Lytechinus pictus: one gene and its partner. The protein of the gene in region 2 purifies or fractionates together with the protein of the main gene of each other region. This does not show direct contact. Links are inferred from orthologs where the notes say so. Each region holds a gene or a part of one and is shown on either strand. Other genes may lie near its edges.

Region 1 (7,979 bases), about 5.4 Mb from region 2:
ATAATCTCATTGCCCTGATGATCCAGACAATAGTATTACATCTCATCTCAGGTTATACATATATCGGATTTTTTAATAACAATATCAGGTATTCTCCAAATATAAATTGTTGGGTCGGATATTTCTTACTTTCGTCACTGTCGCAGAGGTATGTATGGATTTGCCAACTTGCAAGCATTTCACGTCCTGAATTAGATTTGTAATTTTTCGTTAAAGGGGTTATTGCATATTATGTTTTAATTGGCTATATTCACGAGTAAAAATTTATTCTACTGTACATAATACACTCTAAAAAGGGTTTACCCAATATTGCGTAAAATGGGAACATGCATGTTGGTTGGGTAAAAGATATCAATATTTTGTCAAGAAATAACCAAATATGGGTTAAAAAAAATAAAAAATACCCAGCAAACATGCATATTCCTTTTCCACCCAATATTGGGTAACATTTTACTCGGTGTTTTAGAGTGTATATAATTACCCATTTTTTACGAAGTTGGTCCAATATTGAATCATAACATCACGAACTGACTCGGACGTACTTCCAGGAGGAGCATTCAAAGCCGTCTCTCTGCCGAAAATCGAATCCCAGAGGTAGAACAATTCCTCGCCCTGAACTGCCCTGTTTGGATCCCGGAGAGGGTCATCTATCAGTCTATAGTTTGTGTCCACGTAGTCAAAGTAATACAGATATGCATTTGTTTCGGTGCTCCTCTGGTGATTGCGCAAGAGTTGAATGGTTTTAGAAAGGTAGGACCGGTCAGCGTACATTTTAAACATAAAGCGTATTGCGCTTTGCGTATCTGGGAGATCTAGAAGAGGGCCATCGTACCTGTAATCGATGGCCTCCATTGTAAGTAATGCCTGGTCATCAGTTCTATACCTCTGCCTAGTATCGTAGTAAACAAAGTTCGATACATCCTGGACAGTCTGAAATGCCTCATTGACATCGACGTACCCATTTAAGAGCGCTGCCCCTTCGTCACTGTTGACTCCCATCAGAATGTCATATTGGTGTAAAAGATCCATATCTTGTAGATTATCGAGGGTACGTGGAAAGAAGAGCCCATCAATCCGTGGTTCAAAGTAAGCACCCCCGAGAGCGGTGTAATCGACAGCTACGATTTCTTCCCATGTTTTATTCCGAAGACAAGCTAGATTTTTTGTCCATGATCCTTCAGTGCAGTTCAGGGTATTAATGACGATATTGGACAACCTCCTAGCCTGACCCTCGGAACTGATATAGGAAGCATCGGTTGATGTGCTGCTCTGGATAATAGCTCTTTGGAATAGGTTATTATCGTTTAAAGGAGTAAGAATCTGAGCTACAACTCCTGTAGCTCCCTCACGCCCTTGGCCAACAATGGTAATCATACTCCCGTCACCATTGAAAGCTCCGATGTTATCCCGCACCCACTGTATGGCAAATCTTTGATCCCAGAGTCCGTAGTTCCCCGGTACCGTGTCATCCTCCGTGCTGAAGAAGCCGAATGTGAGGAATCTGTAGTTGATGGTGACGACGATGATGGAACCTTTGACGGCCATATCCCTCCCGATGTACTCCGATCCCGAATAAGCTCGGTACCCTCGACCTGGTATGAACAACATGACAGGCAGTTTGTTATCTTCAGTTGCTGCTGGTGGTACAAAGATGTTCAAGAAGAGACAGTCTTCGCTTATCAACAGATCATCAAGATCTTCCACTGGTGATTGTGGACAGGCAGCGCCAAAAGTCGTTGCATCCAGTGTTCCGTCCCAAGGAAGCTTGGGTCGTGGACGAGCAAATCGAAATTCTCCCACTGGGGGTTCTGCGTAAGGAACACCCATGAATTCTTCCATTGCGTTGCCGTCAAAGTCATAACTGTTCCCTTCGACCTCTCCCAATCCAGCAACGTTCACTGTCACTTGAGCAAACGAAACATGAATGTCGATGATGAATAAAAGTAAAAGGACAGTAACCAGATGAGATGCCATGACTAGCAGCATTGGTAAGTCATCGACATCCACAACATTTAAATAGCTTTGAGTGGTCGCTTAATAATTTCTGCGGAAACTCTTCAAACCTATATATGCAACCTTTCCCGGATTTCTATGTGCCACACCTTTGGAAGATAAACGGTGATTGGTCAGTTATAACTGCTGTTTCACTGTTTGATTTCACCCTTTTGTCTAGAGGAAAATGATCACCGCAGGGACAAAGTACGTGGTATTAGCAAACATTCCGACACGTCTGGCGCGAAATGACTCAGCATCGTGTAACGTAGTCATATGGTAGTGCAGATCTCTGCATACAACTTTGAAAAATATTTATGAAATCAAATAGCAGGGGGTAAATATTGAATCATCCGAGAGGCACTTGTTGACCTTCGCATGCTTTATTATCCTTCTTCTCAGTAAAGCAGGAAAGTTATACATTAAAAAACCCCGAAAACTTCCATTTTGTAGAATAGATGACGAAATCCTTGTTAAAAATGAGATGACGTATTAATATCATACGAGCAGTTGTTCATTCACTCACGAAATTGGTTTTGAAATCCATGACTATATATATTTTAGACGATACCATCTTGAATACATTAGAAAGTAGGCTATGATTGATAACGCAAAGACAGCGAAATGTAAAGATAAAAAAACAAAACAGAAACGAGTCGACAGACCTTCAATAAAGTATGATAAGTGGTGAGAGTGATACAATTCTTACCACGGGAATATTAAGATTTAATTTTATTTATTCATTGAAAAAAAAAGTAATGGGAATGTAACATTGGTAAACGTAAACCCTGCATGCGATCGGATAAGCAAAAAAAAAATTACCTATGCTGCCCTTGGGGTGCCCATTGTCAGGAGGGGTGCATTCTTTTATTTTCCTGCCAACTAATTTTTCCTGTATATAATTCCCTGCTAAAATTGTCTTACAACCAAACAAGAGATCATAAAAATTATATAGGGGCGCTTACCCCCTCCCCCTCCCTGAGCAGGCCCGCGCGTGCAGTCGTGATTACTTAGGACGACTACTACGAAGCCATGCGAACCATCGATGTCACTTTCCGAGATGAATTGAATTCATTTATTTTCCATTAAAAACATGCAAAATCAAGAATATACAAACATTACAAAGTATGAAAATGAGACATTGTACAAATTACATATCATACTTTAAAAATAAATACATATAAAGGAGAAATTATATTTCACTAAAGATCCCATATTGATCTTAAAATTTCTGTGATGATGAGAGGTAAATTAGGCCGGAGCACCAAACAGTAAGTGGCGTATCTAACTTTTGTCAGAGTGAACTTCCGGTCCTCTTTAATTGATTCAGATCCCTTAACAAATATATTGAAGAAAAAAAAGAATGAAAAAACAAATTATAAAAATACATGAGAAATTTAAAAATAGGCCTACAATAAACTACATAAGAAATTAATTATGTATTGACATTCTTTTTTGGGGGGATGTTTGTTAGAAATGTCAAATTTATGTTTTCACCAAAAATAAGCATTCTACAAGCAATAATATGAGTTAACAGCAAAATGTATTTTCAGACACTAATTTGCATCATTTATTTTGAAATATGAAGTTTTAACTTGTTGAAATTTTTCTTAACATTTGTAGTTTCAAAAACCTATAGGCATATATGGGGGTGCAAATTTTCGCCAAACAGTCTGGCAAACTGACACTAAACATGGTGTGAAAAGGCACAGTTAAAGAGATCGATGCATACTGCGGACTGAAAATAGTATAAAAATTCACAAAACAAAATATGATGAAAATTTCATCAAAATCTGATAATAATAAATAGCAAAGTTTTGGCGTATGTGCATGCCAGGTCTATGTAATACATGAAATATCGAGACATTATTTCTCCTATTAATCCTCACCCCCATCGAGCCCTTTGTCAAAAGCTGTATGGATCCGCCCCTGAATAAAAATTCACTTAAGGCGGACGAAAATCCCCCCCCCCCCCCCCCATTGCGATCGACATTGCCAGAGCCGCGCATGTGCGCGCTGCCGAGGTTGTCTGTCCAAGTCAATATTACACGTATAGTCAATAGAACCAAATCTGCCGAGGAACCAAATCTGCAAACATCAAGCTGCGTTAAACCTGGCGGATATGGTTCCGATTAGGGTTGGTGTTGGAGTTAAGTTGGCGCTCTTCAATCTGGTAGATTATCTGCGCCAGGTCGTTTCCGAGTTAGCTGCTTAATTCCCGCATCAATGTCCTCGGCGTTAGACTAGTCTGACCTGTCATATAGCGAGGTGCAATATAATTATGATTAGTTACCACCACCATTAAATTGTGCGTTTTTGTACTTCATAGTATGCAAACTTATATAAGAAGCTAGGTCGAAGCTCAATTTGAGTAGTCTAAGGATTGTCACTAATCATCAGAACAAAAGGAAGAGAGAGAGAGAAAGAGATGGAGAGAGATCAGTGGAATATTCTTATTCGAATCTCTTTGTTTTTTTCCACGTAATTCAGGATAACTTTATAATCTGCATTTCTTCCCAATAATGTTGCTAGATATGATATTGGCTTGTTTAATTTCAGGCTTCTTTGCATAATTCTCCTTTCTCTTTCATTTTTCTTACATTGTAGTAAAAAATGTTCTATTGTCTCAGGAACCTGACAATGGGAACATAGACCATTTTCATGTTGATTAGATTTATACAGATAATAATTCAATTTACATTAAAAACGATATCGGCCATTTAGAACGATATCTGCCGGCGGATACGGTATCCGCCGGTGGAACCAAATCCGCCGCTACACCGGCTGTAATTGCCCTCCCCACCCCCCCCCCCCCCCCCCCCTCCGATCCCCTATCGATAAATCTCGAGCGCGATATCGGATGCGCATGCGTGACACATGTGTTAATACTTAATGGTCGGTGAAAGGCATCTGCTGGCGTAAAATCCCTTGATTTTGACAAATATTGGACTAAGAATTAAAATATCACCATGGCTACTGATGAGGTACATGAGGTGAGATTGAAATTATAAAATTTTTCATGTTTTATTCAAATAATTGGCAAGAAAATTCTAAAGGACCGAGTATGCAGGTTATTCATCACAGTCCCGTACTATCATATCTGCGTGGTATTTCTGGTAAACGAGCCACATAACGTCGACAACAACGTTTTTATTTTATTTAGTCTATATCTAACAAGTTAACTGTTAGACAGTATAGGGGCGGCCCAGTATAGGCTTAAGTTATAGATCTAGTCTACTGCCCAACTTTAGCAAAAGGAAGCAAGTGATGCATCAGTCAAGTTTGAATTATTGAACCGGCCGTCTCCATGCCATGCCATGCCAGGCCATGGTCTCTGACGTGTTAATCAATTGTGGGGATTGGGATTCTGGCAAGAAACCGGGAGGGGGGGGGGGCACTCAGACAGCATATAATGCGTGGTGGTGGGTACATGCATGTGCCGCGGAGACGACCCCCATTTTTACACTCCTATTCCTAATAAATTTCCATTCAAAGTAGGGTGTCTGAAGCCACACTGAAAAGTGTCAGCATAAAACAGGCTAATTTAGGGGAAAATATGGCACATTTTTTCGGGGAAGTTCAGGCTACTAGAAAAATGTGATCTGAATTGATTATTAACTTGTGTTTGGCATGTATGGAAAGAGAAAATTCAGGGGCTTCTTTTGACAGTAAGGACAAGTTTATGTGATCATTTGAAATAAGGATTTAGAGATAAATTGCTAACCCTTATTTTTGTGTGTGTTGAGATTGCCATTTCTCCATGCGTTTTCTATGGGGAAATGAAATTTCTGTTTTGCACAATTTTTTTCACTTTGTCGCAATTTTTCATTGTGATCTGGTTTCCAAATCTTTATAAAAATCATACCATCAGATAGAGCATAAAAAATCCTATTGGACTCTTTATGGACAAGTTTTTGGCATTAATAATGAATTTATAACAGCTCTTGGAAGCTAAAAATTTGGATTTGTGTGTGTCCATTTCTTAACTACACAGTCTATGGCAGAGAAATGCTGAAAATTGACCTAATTTCATTCTTCTTTTTTGCAGCCAATAATTTGATTTTTTTCAAAAATGTTACATTTCTGTCAGTCTGAAGGTCATTTCTCTTCAAATTCACAAAGAAAATGTGATATTTTCTTGAAATAAGAAAAATAATTTTTTTCTCCAGACACCCTATTCAAAGGGCAAGACAACATTTTTATTCGAGAAAAAGAACAAAGAAAGTTGATCCAAGGCCTTGCCAAAGCATTTTCTTCTTATCAAGAAAAAAAGAAGAGACAAATCTGTTCCAAAGCAAATGCAAAGTTTCGCATACAATGTATTTTTTGTAACGCCGTTCCGGCCGCATTGATCCGCTACAGTAAGCTGCATTTTTGGTAGACGGCTGGCAGCCGTCTGTTTCGAGGAGTTTTTTAACATTTTTGATTTTTTTTTTAAATTTCTCCTCGTACACAGTCGACGGCTCGCTATTGTGCAGCCACCATTAGGGGGTTAACAACGTGTTGTGCTCTCATTCTAAAAATCAAGCTCTCTGTAAATCTATCGAGTGAAATTGCGATTCCAAGTTCTTTTCTGTTAGTATTTCCAATGCAAAAAGTAGATTGACAACGGTCAGATGGTCTTGATGGCGATATTGTTGAGAGAGCATGTCTACAGACTACGGGGCCACAGACATGCAGACATTGATTAGCTGGAGGGGGAATTGCCAAACTTAATTAGGACCTAGATCTGATTAAACGGGCTTAACGTTAGATCCAACTCTATCGTGTGGCAGCTACATAATAATGTTTATTTTCCTTTTTTTAGTTTCATTTTTTCTGTTTGATTCTTTATCCAGGTGACTGAATGCAAGGACAAATTACATGAAATGGTAAGATCAAGTCAGAGTCTCGTCAAAGATCCATTACTTTGTAAGGCCTGATAACCTCAACCTTGATTGCAAGAGAATTGAACAAATTGAAAATTACCTCTCTATTCTCTCGCCAGGAAAGCTAGGATAGGGGCTGATATGATTTTTTTTTAGCTTTTGATTCAATGCTCAGATATTTAATTATTGTATACTGACATTTTGTAAATTTGCATTGCAAGAGATTGATTTAGTTGAACACTTTCTGATACTAATCAGGCCTAAGACGATGTCAAAGAGTGTCCAGTATTTAATTATTGATGATTTTGTTTTGTTAAATGGCATATCATTGTCCACACATGTACTTAGTCCTTGGAGTTGCTTGTTTTAGTTTAACAAGTTAGATTCACTATTGATTCTCAATCATGTTTTATTCATATAATCACCAAGTTGAAACATTTCACAAAGCTCTCATGAGTGACTTCACTTCACAAACGAGTGGCGATCCTTTCTTGTAGTACAGTAATACTTATGTGCACCAATTTATTATTGGTGTTGATTAAGCTCCTAAAAAAGGATGAGCAGTTGTTTATAAAGTTGCTTGTAGCTTACGAATAGCTTTATGAAACACCCAAGTGGCCCTTTCAGATTGAAATTGCTGTTAATAAGCATCTGAATGCAAACTTCATTTATCTAACTTTAAATAGTAGGGAATTCACATTCGCTCCTACTTTGTTAAGAAAGGGAAAATCTGCCTTTGCTAAATCTCAAGAACTGGGGATGAAGCATCTTATATATATCACCAGTTTTCACTGATCAGCAGATATGTGCCAATCAGATGCAAGTATTTCTGTAGCCTACATGTATAATGTAATGATAAAAATTACTGACCTTTTGTTTCATGAAATGCTCCCTAAGTGTGCATAATTCATGATGCATAACTTAGGAACAGCTTTATGAAACAGTCCCCAGTGCAATAATGTTTGAACTTCAAGCAAAAAATGATCATAATTTTTCATTTTTCTCCCTTTTTCTATCGCCGATCAGTCAGAGAATCTAGTGAAAGTTGTGTTCCCCAAGAAGATTCGAGAGTTAGGGGAATTAGTAGAGGTGAGAATTTCTTAAATTCTTTTGGTAATT
Region 2 (8,309 bases):
TTAGAATGATACCATATATGATTGTGGTTCACATGGAGGTGCAGTACCTTGAAATGTGGGGCAATGTCAACATTCAAAAGTTGCAAAATGACACAATATTGAAAGTCACTGTTGTTTTTTCCGTGGTGATGAGTGAGTTTCTCAGCGGTTTATTTTGTTTTCATACACATCAAACACACCTCTGCACAAGCAAACACATGCAAACAAACATGCATGGGTATTTCGAACCACGACTCAAACCATGTTATCTCACATAACCATTACTACATAAACCACAACAAAACATAAAAAATGAAGAAGCAGCGGCTTGATTTGAATGGGTTTTTATCTCTATTGACACAGACAAAATCATCATGTTCTTTATTGACCCTTCATGACTACTTCTGCTCGTTTTGCTGCTTTTCAATTCAGACCTCATCCAAAACTTTTGAATCCTGCTCTTTTCGTGATGGCATGATTATAACAGGCATTGTATAATTTTAAAGAAAATTAAATGATCTTTTAAATGATATCAAATATGCATTGTGTTAAATTGGGAGTTGGGAGAAATTAATGGCCAAACTCAGATTTCCAAACTTTTTTTGAGGGGTTTATATTATATTCAAAGACAAAATAAACATTGATGGCACTTTTTTGTTTAAAGTTTTCAATTTCTTAAGTGAAAAAAATGAAGAAAAAAAAATCATTGATGAGGGGAAGTTATATACAGTATATCTAGAAGTGATTAGATAGTAACCTCGGGTCCTTCAACGAGTGTGTCCCCCCCCCCCCCTTGCAAACATACCTTTGCTAAACACTTTCATTTTCTTTTTCTTCTAGGTTTACTTAGTGCAATTTTTAAATATATTTCATTGCTCGCAATCTTCGGATAGTTTTTATAAGTTATGAATAATTATAGTCCCTTGCAGTGAATTCTAATTATGTTTTCCCAAGAAATTTGTTTTTAAATGCTTTATAAACGTAATTTCTATATTCAATTTTTACACAAAATTGGGATGGGGTCATCAGGCCAGGGGTCGGGCGAATCAAGGGCCGTGCCCCTCCCATATTGTCGGCTCATAAAAGGAAGGAAAGTATTTTGTCTTGTTGTTTCTTCTACTCCTACTGTAACTACCAACTTAATTACAGTATTACAAATACTTATCGGAGGCTTCAAACTGATATACTTTTGAACCAGGCAATTTAATCTATAATAAGCTTTATCCACCTCCATGTCTGGATCACTGATGGTCTGGATCCCATTGTTTTGCACTCTAATGTAACTCGCCACAGATGGCGCTATTCCATTACAGAGAGGAGAAAAAGAAATAGATAGATAAAACAAAATTATACGGGAAAAAAGAAGAAATTTCATGAAGTAAGGCGAAGAGAATAATTTGAAAGAAAAAAATTTTGTTCGCTATTCAATTAAGTTTTTGTTATTCTACATCAGGGAAATTACGGGCCCTGTTCATGATTACCCCCCCAAAAAAAAAATCAGCTCGCGCTACGCGCTCAGATTATTTGATTGGTGAGATATGTACCCTTTTTCATGAATCACTGCAAATAGTCCTTGTTGAGTCCTTTTCAGGATGTCAATATATTGAAGAAAAAAAAACAGTTTGCGATTCGCGCTATTATGTACAAGCACAGACTATACGCATCTTGTTCATGATTAGGCAGAAAAAAGGCTGCTCAGAATATTTAATTTTCAGCTGTGAATAGATGAAATAATGAACTAGTGAAAAAATAGCTCACGCTTCGTACGCTCTCATTATTTATTCAAAGGACAAGTCCACCCCAACAAAAAGTTGATTTCAATAAAAAGCGAAAAAACAAACAAGCATAACATTGAAAATTTCATTAAATCGGATGTAAAATAATATGGCATTTTAAAGTTTTGCTAAGTTTCACGAAACAATTATATTCACATCCTGGTCGGTATGCAAATGAGGAGACCGATTGCATTCATCCACTCACTATTTCTTTTGTATTTCATTACAGCATGGAATATGAAAAATCTAATTATCTCCTCATTGTCATCAGTGGCGTAGCTAGGATATTTTTCCTGGGGGGGGGGGGGCACAATTTTTTCCGGTGTGTGTGTATGTGTCACAAGGGCGGATCCGACTTTCGCCAATAGGGGACGGTGCCCGAAATTATCTTCACCTATATTTTCCCCGATCAGTCACTTCTCAGTTTTATTCTTATAAAACAACATAAACATGAAATAATCTCATAAGCCTTATAAAAAAGTGCGAGCGCGAAGCGCGAGCGATTTTTTTTACTTTTATGTATTTTGTCCTGAAAATTTGATATTCTGGGCAATGATATGTGTGATCCTGAACAAGATATGTATGTAAGATGGTTACTGCGAACGCCAAGCGTGAGCAGAAATTTTTATTAACTGTTCTAGCATTATCGAAAAGGGACCTGTCAAGGAAGACGGTATATATTTCAATAATGCAAGCGCAAAGCGCGAGCAAATTTTTTTGACATTCCGACTTTTAAAAAATGGTCATTCTAAGCATTTTTTGTATTAATAAATGGGATAGGTATGTAACTAAACAATTGATGCGAGCGCGAATTATTGATATTCTGATGTGAAACTGGATAATTTAACTACATTTTAAATAAAGAACATGCAGGCTATCGCGCATGTTTTAGATTTAGACCTAGAATCTGGGCATTCTGAATACATTTGTTTAATGGAACATTATGGAATACACGTAGCCGGGACACGTAGACAATATGAACTTGGCAAATCAAACAATGTGACCACGCAGCGTGAGCTTAATGCTGATATGTAGACCATAAAACGGACATTTTACAGAGCACTTAAATTTGTAAATGAAAAAAAATAATGAAAGCTCGATGTCCTAGCTAAAATATGTTTTGTATATTGACTTCAAAGCTTGCTCCATATCAGCCTATTGAGCAAGATATGAATCTCATCGAACAGGCAATTCTGGCGCGAAGTGCAAGCAAAAATTGTTTTTTTTTTGCAAGTCTTCCCCTCACATTATTTCATTCACTCGTCTTCCTCTTATTTTTTTTTCTTCTTCTTTTCCTTTTTTCTTTTCTTCTTTCTCCCTTTTTTTGCTCTGCCATTTTTTTCAGGGGGGGGGGCACCTGGGGGGGGGGGGGCACACCAAAATAAATCTCAGGGGGGCACGTGCCCCCCAGGCCCCCCCCCGTAGCTACGCCACTGATTGTCATGTGAATCGAAGTTTTATTCCTTTCTGAACACAGTACTGTACAAGCTGTAATTTTCGCGGGGGTTTTATTTTCGCGGATTTCGCGAATTGCCGATCGGCCGCGAATTTAACAACACGCGAAAATATTGACACACTTGTTAGTCAGTGCCAATGTCCCCAACAGCAAAGCTTTGCTATTGAAAACATACTGTGTAGTGAGAAAATGGAGATATGCACCTCTATATGTACAAAAAATAAGGCTTAGAAAGTACAGTTAGTGATTCAAAAAGTTAGCTAGAATTTCACTTTTTTTAATTTCTAGTATGTGATTATCAATGTTTCAACATTTTGTGGTTCAGACAAAAGGGTCATTATTGTCAAATCTGTAAAAAGAAATGAATATTTCACAATTCAAGCAATAAAAAATAAAATAAAATAAATAGATAGTGAGTGAAGGATATCATCAACGCTTTTATTTGCATAGAGCCAATATCCATGAGTTTTGTGAGTAATAAGCGTGACTTTAAAATGCCATCATGATATATTTCTTATTTCACATCGGATTTGGATGAAATTTTCAGGGTTAATTGTTATGCTTCTTTTATTTGTCTCTTTTTATTCAAATCAACATTTTTTTGGGGTGGACTTGACCCTTTGAGATCTTGGCGAATAATAAGGCTAAGATGAATGAAACGTCATTCTCTGGTTAGTACAGCCCTCTAAACGCGGTAAAAAAAATTAAAATAAACTTTTTAGGCGTCAAATGGGGGAAATGTTGATAATAATATTTTTACCCCCTCACCAACACTAGCGTCATTTTAGTGAGCAAACAGTTTTAAGGGGCCAGACATGCCGTATAGGGCCAAATTAATTTGGAAAAATATGCGAGAGAGCAAATTTTTTTATATTTTTATTACCAAAAGAAAATTTTGTGATAGATTTTGACATGATATTCAGATAATAATTTTAGATTTTCCTTCTCTTTCATTTTTTTTTCTTGGTCGTGATAAATTGGGGGCCCCCATATCTACCCTCTCATATAATTACTTCTTCTAAACCGTTACCCGTCATTATCATTAGTCTGTAATAGGCCTACTATACCTTTTCTCACTATGTCAAATAAAAAAGTTGGTTGATAATCATATGGGTGTTAGCAAACGAAATTGGTGTAACCTTAATGGGAATTAGACGAATAATGGGCGTATAATGAAATTACGCTGCGTCGGATGGGGGGGGGGGGGGGGGGGGGGGGTGATGGCAGGATCATAATAGCTATCTTTTACCATATAAAATTGCCATTATAATTGCAGGTACCCACCTTCGAGAAATGGCCCTAGAAATCGCTTGTCAAGGACCTTTATCAAGAAGTTTATGAAAAAAACAAATCGAATGCTTATTGGGAGGAAAAACAGGTTTAAAGTCAGTCAGAGGTATGGGATGGGGACTTTTGAACACTCACCCACCATTAGGAATCGTCGCAATTATTTTTACCCATTTTCTTAAAGGTCAAGACAGTCTAACTTCCATCAACGCTTGTGACTTGAGATCCCGGCTTTGAGATATATATATATTTTTTAAGGCTATTTAAAAAAAAAAAAGTTTAAAATGTCATCGGGCTAATTTTCGTATCTTACAAGATGAGAAAGCCTACTATATAGGCCTACGAGCAATGAGAGGAAAACTGAGATTAAGGAAGAAGAAAAAAGGTGAACATGGATAAATAAGAAGAATAGAAAAGGAAGAGGCAAAGAAGAAGAAGACGAAGAAGAAGAAGAAGAAGGAGGAGGAGGAGGAGGAGAAGAAGACGAAGAAGAAGACGAAGAAGAAGAAGAAGAAGGAGGAGGAGGAGAAGAAGAAGAAGAAGAAGAAGAAAGAGATAGAAATAGAATATTTCATGAGTGAGCCCTCTTTGTCGAAACAGAGAAAGTCTACAAACGATCGTGAATTGACACATTTTAGGAATTGGAAAAAATCTGTCTTGTTTGTGGCCGGGGATACAAACAATCTAGGCATAATGGTAAGAAATGTGATTGATTTTAAAGTCAAGTATTTGCTTTTAAATGCCTTTGATTTGAGAATGTAAGACATGTATTTATTGTATAAGAAAGAAGAGCGAACGAAGTTTGACTTTAGTTTTAGTTGACCTGCGAGAGCATGACCGTGTCTCGGGGTGGCGTCGGGGAGTCTCTACCGCGATGAATTCGAGCGAGTCTCTCTCGAAGTCCGCTGCGGCGGAGCACAAGTCAGATGAAGATTCTGCCTCGGGCGAAGTAGCCTGGAGGCGTCTGGGGAGTAAAAGTCATCTACTCTACGTAGGCTTACTCCCCACTGACGCCTGGGACGCCAAGGTATAATCACGCACGTACGGCCACAAAACCTGAAACTATCGCCCCTGAGATTTCTACTTTCCCTCTAAAACTAAAAGATCTAGCCCTAGACCTAGTATAACCCAGAGAGCTCCAGCCCGCGTAGCGTAGCGGGCTGGAGCCCAGACGCTCAGTGTGCAAACGGGCATTCAGGTGAGAGTACCGTGAAGTTTGGTCAAAATAATTTTGATAATACATAATTAAAACAGAAATTAAGCACTTACCACGATTGTATGGATGATAGTCTAACGAGTGGCAGTTTCCTGACATCGAGGCACAGACTGGAACCTCAAAAAACGATCAGTTCTGTCGCGGTAGCTCTCCTCTTTCAGAATTCAACACAAAATGGCCGATCGAGACCGAGGCTAGTATAGCACTAGCGCATATAGACTTTGTCAAATTCGCGCATGCGCCCTACACCCTCTCGAACGGCCATTTTGCTATGAATTTTGAAAGAAGGAGAGCCACCGCGACAGAACTGATCGTTTTTTGAGGTTCCAGTCTGTGCCTCGATGTCAGGAAACTGCCACTCGTTAGACTATCATCCATACAATCGTGGTAAGTGCTTAATTTCTGTTTTAATTATGTATTATCAAAATTATTTTGACCAAACTTCACGGTACTCTCACCTGAATGCCCGTTTGCACACTGAGCGTCTGGGCTCCAGCCCGCTACGCGGGCTGGAGCTCTCTGGGTTAGCCCTAGTAGTAGTATTATAAAACATGTAGGCCTACCGGTACATGGGTTCACTTCAACTTCATTTCCAACATTTCTGCGATATCAATTTCGTTTTTAAAGAAGAATTAGGCCTAATAAAAAAAACGAGAAAAATGTTATGAAAAGATGGGAAGAGCTCACGGCCGTGTTTACGTCGCCATCTTGATTTCTTTGTCTTCCGCTTGGCGACAGCACGCAAATCGCGTTAATGTTATTCATTGTTAAAATTATATTAAAAAAATATAACGAGAAAGTAAAATAGCTTAATTTCTTACTCTTCACCCGTATTTCACTCCGTGTCCATCCTCCGGTTATCCTCAAAATTGGTGATTTTGGGCCAGTATCTTTTTCCTCACACGTATATAGCGATAAACCTTATTGACTTCAACGAGTGCACACACACACTGACACGCGAGAAGAGAGGTGACTAATTGCATGATACTAAGGCCATAAAACCGGTAATCAAATGGGTAAATTGGTCTAAAAACCATCTAAAAATATTGCCACAAAGTCATTACCATGGATCATGTTTAGCATGACAAATTATGGACTGTACTCGGGTGCTGGACCATCAAATTAAATGAAAAAAAAATGATAAAATTAAAAAAGCAACAACAAACAAGCAAGCCCCAAAAATGTGTCATCCACTTAAGAAGATAACTAATGTTAATTTAGACCATGGTTAATGTTATCAGAAGTTGTCTTTGGTCCTTTTCTATTTATTTTTTTTATTGTTTTTTTTACGTTAGAGAGAGTGAAATGCTCTTTTTTGCATGTGTGTGATGGGAACCCGGCCGTTTTTATGCATGATCCACTTAAAATCGAAGATTGAGGAATTTGAGGGTCATCTAGTCTTTTCTAGATTGTTTCATTTGCCAAAATTATCAAGTTTTTTTTTTATTTGTAAAGAAATCGGGGAGAATAATAAGAAAGATGAAGGGACTCAAAGTCAGTCTGCACTTATTTTTTCAGAATTGAAAGAAGAAATAAAAGTCTGGGTTTTAATTATGGTCGGCCTGGTACAGCAAACAGTTTTTTGTTTTTTTCCTTCACAAGGATTGTTTTAGAAAATGAGCAAACAATGTGTGCATGCACCTTTTAGCCAGCCAAAGCCATTTGAAAATAGTTTTCCAGGTTTTTGTTTTGAACGTTTATTTCTTGCCACACTTACACATTTTCTTATACATTTTCTTATATTTCAGTCTATTATGTCATATAACGGCTCGGCCGTTGTGGCCATGATAGGGAAAGACTGCGTTGGGATCGCGTCAGATCGACGGTTTGGAGTACAAGCTCAGACCGTCTCGATGAACGCACAGAAAATCTTTGAGATGGGACCAAGGCTTTATTTGGGAATCTCTGGGCTAGCAACTGATATAACTACAGTGTAAGTATGGAAATGGCAAGACCTCTGTATCATTCATACATAAAACACACGTTAACATTTTTATGCTAATTCTAAAAAAGGCATTCATTGACAGAAACTCTTAATTTGGAGATGGCAAGAGCCAAGAATATCATAAAAGATGACACTTTTAAAGTGGAATGGATGTACATGTAAGCTAGTAACAAAGTGATTAAAATCTGAACGAAGATAAAACATAAGCTGTTCATTATCAAGTTCATTACAGGCTATGTTTTACTATCTTGGATGTGCCTTTGTCTTATTTTTTCAATTATTCCCATTTGTACTGGTAGAAAAGGTATAGAAAAATGGCCCTGTCCTGTAGATTATTGGAACCTACAATTTGTTTATTACCCATGGGTATGTCGGACAAGCCTGCCTTGGGCAAAATGCTACAGTTATCGCAAGAAACTTGTGATCAATTTGCAAGTTGTAAAATTGCAACAGAACTTTGCAATTGATCGCAAATGTATTCTTATAACACCCTATAATTAGGTGGTCTGACTCTGACAGATCACCTCTTAATTTCGTCAGAATTTTCTTTCTTTATTTCTTTATTTCTTTCTTTCTTTATTTATTTATGTTTGTCGCCAACTTTTCTCCGAATTGGCTGAATCAATTTGGCTGATTTTTCTGTCATATATA

Evidence for each region. The genes of interacting proteins can lie anywhere in the genome.
Region 1: the proteins of proteasome subunit beta type-3-like (region 2) and proteasome activator complex subunit 3-like purify together in Homo sapiens (affinity purification with mass spectrometry; 4 studies listed by BioGRID and IntAct, with this or other methods). This does not show direct contact. The link is inferred for Lytechinus pictus from reciprocal best matches to the Homo sapiens genes PSMB3 and PSME3.

The regions. Positions count from the first base shown.
Region 1 is NC_087257.1:14,471,534-14,479,512, forward strand, and holds the start of proteasome activator complex subunit 3-like, read left to right. Parts: upstream 1-4,820; 5' UTR 4,821-4,961; coding exon 4,962-4,985; intron 4,986-6,830; coding exon 6,831-6,863; intron 6,864-7,886; coding exon 7,887-7,949; intron 7,950-7,979. Other genes in the region: uncharacterized protein LOC129275040, read right to left, coding at 482-1,986. UniProt on the Homo sapiens protein: Subunit of the 11S REG-gamma (also called PA28-gamma) proteasome regulator, a doughnut-shaped homoheptamer which associates with the proteasome. 11S REG-gamma activates the trypsin-like catalytic subunit of the proteasome but inhibits the chymotrypsin-like and postglutamyl-preferring (PGPH) subunits.
Region 2 is NC_087257.1:9,035,126-9,043,434, reverse strand, and holds the start of proteasome subunit beta type-3-like, read left to right. Parts: upstream 1-5,102; 5' UTR 5,103-5,190; coding exon 5,191-5,193; intron 5,194-7,461; coding exon 7,462-7,646; intron 7,647-8,309. UniProt on the Homo sapiens protein: Non-catalytic component of the 20S core proteasome complex involved in the proteolytic degradation of most intracellular proteins. This complex plays numerous essential roles within the cell by associating with different regulatory particles.